Linked DNA regions of Oryctolagus cuniculus. The protein of the gene in region 1 interacts with the protein of each later gene in a biochemical or structural test. Links are inferred from orthologs where the notes say so. Each region holds a gene or a part of one and is shown on either strand. Other genes may lie near its edges.

Region 1 (3,655 bases):
GTAATATAAAATCAGTATACTTTTGGTTAACATTGTCATGGTATATCTTTTTCTACTTACTTTTGATCTTTTCATAGCTTAAAACTTAAGGTATATCATTTAAAAATTTTTTTTAATTTTATTTTTTAAAAATTTTTTGCAGGCAGAGAGAGAGACAGAGAGGAAGGTCTTCCTTTTTCCGTTGGTTCACCCCGCAATGGCTGCTGCGGTTGGTGCGTTGCGGCCGGCGCACCGCGCTGATCCAATGGCAGGAGCCAGGTACTTCTCCTGGTCTCCCATGGGGTGCAGGGCCCAAACACTTGGGCCATCCTCCACTGCACTCCTGGGCCACAGCAGAGAGCTGGCCTGGAAGAGGGGCAACTGGTACAGAATCCGGTGCCTCGACCGGGACTAGAACCCGGTGTGCCGGCGCCGCAGGCGGAGGATTAGCCTAGTGAGCTGTGGCGCCAGCCTGTATATCATTTTTTTTTTTAAACAAAGCTGTTTCCCATTGCTTGCCTGCTTGCTTTATTTATTTTCATTTTATTTGAAACACAGAGACAGTGATGGAGAGATTTTTCATCTGCTGGTTCACTAGCCAAGGCTAGTGAACTGCCAGGGCTGAGTCAGGATGAAAGCCAGAAACCAGGAATTCAATCTGGGTTTTCCACGTGGATAGTAGGCACCCAAGAACTTCAGCCATCATCTGCTGTCTCCTAAGTTACGCTTTAGCAGAAAGTCAAATCAGAAGCAGGGCCAGGACTTGAACCAGGGACTGCAACTTGAGATGTAGCTGTCCTCTGTAGCACCTTAACGGCGGTGCCAAATGCCTAACCCAAGTGTTTCTTTTGAAAACCACATAATTTGGTTTTTAATTAAAAAAAAATTTTTTTTTAAATTTTTTGACAGGCAGAGTGGACAGTGAGAGAGAGAGACAGAGAGAAAGGTCTTCCTTTTGCTGTTGGTTCACCCTCCAATGGCCGCCGCGGCCGGCGCGCTGCGGCCGGGGCACCGCGCTGATCCGATAGCAGGAGCCAGGTACTTCTGGTCTCCCATGGGGGTGCAGGGCCCAAGGATTTGGGCCATCCTCCACTGCACTCCCTGGCCACAGCAGAGAGCTGGCCTGGAAGAGGGGCAACCGGGACAGAATCCGGCGCCCTGACCGGGACTAGAACCCTGTGTGCTGGCACCGCAAAGTGGAGGATTAACCTAGTGAGCCGTGGCGCTGGCCCCATAATTTGGTTTTTAATCAACCATTCTGCTAATCCTTTTTAGTCATTGTCTTTTTTTTTTATTTTTTTTTTTTTGACAGGCAGAGTGGACAGAGAGAGAGAGAGACAGAGAGAAAGGTCTTCCTTTTGCCGTTGGTTCACCCTCCAATGGCCGCCGCGGCCAGCGCGCTGCGGCCAGCGCACCACGCTGATCCGATGGCAGGAGCCAGGAGCCAGGTGCTTTTCCTGGTCTCCCATGGGGTGCAGGGCCCAAGCACCTGGGCCATCCTCCACTGCACTCCCTGGCCACAGCAGAGGGCTGGCCTGGAAGAGGAGCAACCGGGACAGAATCCGGCGCCCCGACCAGGACTAGAACCCGGTGTGCCGGCGCCGCTAGGCGGAGGATTAGCCTAGTGAGCCGCGGCGCCGGCCTAGTCATTGTCTTTTAATCTAGCATTTAGTCTAGCAATAAGACAACAATAGTCTATTTATTGAAATATTTAATTTATACCATATCTTACTACTATTATCTTTTTGCCCACCCATTCTTTGTTTCTATTTGCTCTTAATTTTTTATGTCAATTCTATTTTTTATCCTCTGTTAAGTAACAGGTATGCGTTCTTTCATCCTTGTAATGGTTTCCTTAGAGCTATGCCACCCAATTCAGTGGCCACACATGTGGCTATTTACATTTCAAGTTCTAATACATGTTATCTTATACTTCAGTAATGCTGCTGCTTACAGCATTAATCACATAGTGCTTACCCAATCTTCACCACACCCTAGAAGGTGAGTATACACACTACACTTATCTCCATTTTACAAATGCAGAAACAGACAGGAGCAGGAAATACACAACAACAACTGGATTTGTATTTAGAGGCTATTACTTAAGCATTGACACTTACATAATATTTTCCATGGATTTGGGTTTAATAAAAATGGAGATCGGGTAAAGTTGTGCAATCTGCAATCTCTTTATGGCGTTTCCGGACACATCGAGGATACAGTGTTTGCCCTAAAATTGAGTAAAGCAGTAAACCAAGTGAACCATTTCTCTTCACTTACATCAAAGGTACATTTCCAACAGGCACAATAACTAGAGTATGCTTACTCACTGACTGTAAGCAAATCTGTCAATCCTGTTAGCAAATTTTAGATGGGAAGTAAAATATAAAATTTATGGGTAAATAGTTTTCCACTATTGAAGTAAGAATTTTTTTTTTTTTTTTTTTTTTGGACAGGCAGAGTGGACAGTGAGAGAGAGAGACAGAGAGAAAGGTCTTCCTTTTGCCGTTGGTTCACCCTCCAATGGCCGCCATGGCTGGTGCACTGCGGCCGGCGCACTGCGCTGATCCGAAGCCAGGAGCCAGGTGCTTCTCCTGGTCTCCCATGGGGTGCAGGGCCCAAGCACTTGGGCCATCCTCCACTGCACTCCCGGGCCAGAGCAGAGAGCTGGCCTGGAAGAGGGGGAACCGGGACAGAATCCGGTGCCCCGACAGGGACTAGAACCAGGTGTGCCAGCGCCACAAGGCGGAGGATTAGCCTAGTGAGCCGCGGCGCCAGCCTGAAGTAAGATTTCAGAAAGTTATAAACAGTTCTCACACTCCTGGTGTTCAAAGATTAGTATTCTCTCAATGGCAACCAATATAGGGTGCTGATCTTTAATTTTGTAAGACAGAGCATTTAAAAAAAGACCCCAAACTACTCTCATCATAACCATAATTTCATAAAATATATGATCAGCAGAAGGTAAAAGATCCTAGAAAAATGGGTAAATATCCTAAACTGAGTAAGTTTAAATTTGTAAAACCTCACTACCATTATTCTCCTTCTCATTTTATGTGGACTGGCAAAACTTTTATCATAAATTGGCATCTGGAAATCTCAATTCTGACTTTAAATAACTTTTCTGACATGCTTAAATTCACCGACTAGACCACTTATGTTTGCTGTCCTCTTATCTCTTCCATTCTTTTTTTTTCTTTCTTGAGATTGCTTTTGCTCTCTACAAGGTTTGCACATGAAACAGTTTACTTGGATTTGCTGTTTACTTTCCTATTACTAATCTGAAGTCTGGATAATATCTATCTTTTATCTAGGCTAAGAGTTTTGAAATTAAAAATTTTATTTTTCAAGAAATAAAACATTCTCCAAAGCTGGTTTTAATTTCCTTCTCTTCCCTTCTAAAAAGAAACCAAGAGATAGTAGCTGTATTATTCTCATGCATGTTTTTGTTTACAAACAAGCATCCATATATTATTATTGGCTGTTTTATACTTTCTAACATTTACATAAGCAAACTTTATAATTCACTATTATAATTTTGAGACTTAGCAATGTGGATACACCTAACTACTAGATATACAAATTTATGCACTCTGGCTGTTATATCCCACTGCATGAATAAATGAGGGTTGACTATCCATTCCCTTCTGTTGATTCCAATTTTTCACATTATAAG
Region 2 (3,655 bases), on another chromosome or scaffold:
AACTCTCCATGAAAAAAACCCTGACGCGAACAGCCGTAGGCACTAGGCACGCGGTGTCTTCCTGACATAATCCGAGTGGCATTTAAAGGGGATTCCTAACAGTATTGTGTATTTACCACTGGGATGCCAAAATCAAAGTAGGGGGTAAACTTCATGTCTTAGTCTATAATTACCAAAGCATTGCTATAGGAAAAAAATTAAGTATGTTATGTTAAAAATATTCTGAAACCATCTTGAACATAACTTATGGGTAGATGTAGGGTAGGCCTGACTGGTGAAAAATCTTTCATTAAAAAAACAAATCAGAGGGTGAGCCTTTGGCCTTAGTGACTGAGATGCTCACATCCCATTCTGGAGTGTCCGGATGTGTGTCCTGGCTCAGTTCCAAACTCTAGGTTCCTGTTAACACACACTCTGGGAAGAAGCAGGTGATGGCTCAAATAGTTGAGTCTCTTCCACCCATACAGGAGATCCAGACTGAGCTCTTGGCTCCTGGCTTTGGCCTTAGCTGTGGTAGGCATTGGGGGTGTGAACCAATAGATGGGAGCTTTTCTTTCTCTGTCTGCCTCTCTTTCAGATAAATAAATAAGTGTATTTAAACAAAATCAAGAAACAGCTTGATTCGAATTCCAACCAATTCTTCTAAAATTCAAGAAAGTGCATTTTAATATTTTGAGGGGGAAACATTTAATTCAACTCAAATTCTGCTGATGCAAATGTATATAATTTCATGGATTCAGATTTATAGAGCTCAAAAGACAAACAAAACTGAAATTTACAGTGTAAGTCTTTCTTTTTCTTATTTTTTTTTTAAAGATTTTATTTATTTATTTGAGAGGTAGAGTTACAGACAGTAAGAGGAAGAGACCGTCTTCCTTAGTTGCTTCACTCCCCAGTTGGTTGCAACGGTTGGAGCTGCGCCGATCAGAAGCCAGGAGCCAGGAGCCTCTTCCGGTCTCCCATGAGGGTGCAGGGGCCCAAGCACTTGGGCCATTCTCTACTGCTTTCCCCTGCCATAGCAGAGAGCTGGATCAGAAGAGGAGCAGCCGGGTCTTGAACAGGTGCCCATATGGGATGCCAATGCTGCCGGCAGAGGATTAACCTACTGCGCCATGGCGCCGGCCCCTACAGTGTAAATCTTGAGATAAAAACAAGCTCTTTCCCATGCTATACTTGTTTCAGCTATATTTCCCCAGATTTCCTCACTAGGCTGGCTATCTGGCGGGCCACCGCCTGGTACTCACCTGTCAGGCTGTCTGGCCGAGGTGGAACCATCCTCTCGTAAATGTCATACTGCTGCTGTCCGAATTGCTCCATGTCATGAACAGTCCTTTGCAGTGAAGGTCCCAGATGCTGTGGTACGGCAGTCATCCCTGAGCGTTTGGGGGACGATGACCCCACCTGGCCTTGGGATGGGGAAGCTACTCGAGTCTGTGCATCCGTGAGGGTCAGCGGGGACCCCACTCTGGTGGTGGTTTGGTACTGAGGGGTTGGTCCGTTGGGATTGGAGGTCTGCCGGGAGGTGACTGACCCAATCCGGCGCACGGCTGTTGGGGAGGCGGGTCTCTGTGAGTACGGAGAGGCTGCCCGCTGAGCGGGCAATGTGGTGGACGAGTATGCACTGGGGTTCAGAGGTCGGGAGTCCGTCACCGATGGAGAGCCAAATCCACTACCCAGAGAAGTTCTCAGTGACCCCCTTGAAGGAGACACGCCTGTGCTGATAACATAAGAAGGAGACTGCGCTCTAGATGGAACTGAACTAACTCTTCTCATGGCCCGATTGGCTACTGATGGCTGATGGAAGGGGGGAGAAAAGAGAATTGGGTTTATCCAGGGTTTTGTGTCCATTACAGAAAAAAATGCACATAGCTCACTACAGAATGTGAACTCACTGCTTATTTTAGTCATCTAAGTTTCTCTTCCTTTTCATGCCCTAGAGTTAGATCTTAATTTTTTCTCACAGTGCTCTTCTTGTAATGCATTTTTTTTTGGTCGTTTAGTCTGAACACTAAAATGAACCAGTAAAGACAACTGAATACATGTGATATTCCTTTTTATTTTTGTCTTTACATTTTTTACCTTCTACCTATGCCTTTTTCACAACATACACAATGTTTTATTACAAGTGTTACTAATAACTTATTTGTAAGGACCACAGGTGCAATGTACTTATTTCATTCCCTGTGAGCCAAAGGTAATGTATTTTTGTAAAACAGAAAGGATTAAAAAAATACATCAGTTTAAATGTAGCCACAGGAGAATTTATAATTGTCCAGTCTTTCTGGGCTGGCCCCATTAACAAAAGGAATGTGTTCTTTAAATGTGCAATAAGTGAACATTTGGGTAGACTCTGGCTCCACTGCTCTTCCCTGTGAATTTACTTCAAGGGACAGCTTGGCTGCACAGGTGCTCTAGCCTAATTTGTTGTTCCTTTGGTTTAAGTGTAGCTTCTACTGATTTTAGCCATTTCTTTTTACCTTCTCTGATCTGTAGCACTTAGCATTAGCTAAGCAATTTTGAGAACATGTAAAGAAAGATTCCCCCAAATCTGTCCCAATAGGAGGAATGCTCAAGGTCTTGGCTGAGTTCCTGGCTCAGCAAGCTGGAAAAGACCTGAATAGGAATTGAATATTTCTGCCATGGCTGATTCTGATAAGAATCCATAGGCTGCTGCAAACATAGCAGGTGGCAGATGCCTTTCTTGATGCTGAACAACAATGAAGACGAACAGTATCTGGACCATATAAGTGGGTGAGGACATGTAGTGCGGGGGAAGAGGCATTGGGAAAAAGGAGAGCAGGATAAGAAATGGAAACTGACATAAGGGCTCCAGGTTACAGGCCCAGGACCAGGGTGCCCTGTTATCTCCTGATTGCTAGAGTCCATTTGCCATCAACCCCTTCCATTTTTAATTGTGACAATAAGGAAAGAAACAAGGATAAGAGATGGACTTTGTACACTCTTTGATGTCCTAAGAGCATATATGCTTTGCTGGCAGGTGACACAAGCAACTGAACTGATTGAAACACCTGCTCTGACACCTCAAGTGTGCTCAAGTTCCACAATTGTGGGAAGACAATAGCCTTGAAGAAGCAAAGCTGAGGAGGCAAGAGGACAGTATGTAAACAAAGCAAGAACGATGATAAGTTAAAAAAGGCAAGAAAGATGAAACTTAAAATTTAATAAGCAGTTGGGAAGTTAATATGTGTGCTGGGGTAACAACAGTGCTAACAATAAGAAAAGACAATCTCACACGACTTGTAGCTATCAAAATGGAACAACATTTGACCTAGATAGCTAAACAATGTGTTGCCAAAACTACATACAAAATAAGTCTTAGAGACCCCTTTGCTACATAATTTCTCAGCTTCAGGAACAAAATCAATTTACTGCAAGTTAAAAAATAGGTAACATAATCACTGTGACATGGAAAAACGTAGTTGCTACAGTGAAGGTAATTGCTGACAAAAAGAATGACTTCAGATCTGCTGACACAGAAATTCACCTAAGTCGATGAACTCCCGTAGGCATTTAGTCCAAAGCGTCTCAAACTTTTCCACTAAAGAATCCTTAAAAGCAAAGGAATAAATGTGTATTTGAAGGACTGGGAGGGCAGCTTGGAGGAGCTTGCTCGATTTCCCATGTGCTATATTTG

The links.
Region 2: the proteins of DLG1 (region 1) and PKP4 interact in a test that uses a peptide from one of them, tested with the Homo sapiens proteins (2 studies listed by IntAct, with this or other methods). The link is inferred for Oryctolagus cuniculus from reciprocal best matches to the Homo sapiens genes DLG1 and PKP4.

Annotation. Positions count from the first base shown.
Region 1 is NC_091435.1:83,519,797-83,523,451, forward strand, and holds part of DLG1 (disks large homolog 1), read right to left. Parts: intron 2,210-3,655; coding exon 2,100-2,209; intron 1-2,099. UniProt on the Homo sapiens protein: Essential multidomain scaffolding protein required for normal development. Recruits channels, receptors and signaling molecules to discrete plasma membrane domains in polarized cells.
Region 2 is NC_091434.1:83,369,522-83,373,176, forward strand, and holds part of PKP4 (plakophilin-4), read right to left. Parts: intron 1,795-3,655; coding exon 1,245-1,794; intron 1-1,244. UniProt on the Homo sapiens protein: Plays a role as a regulator of Rho activity during cytokinesis. May play a role in junctional plaques.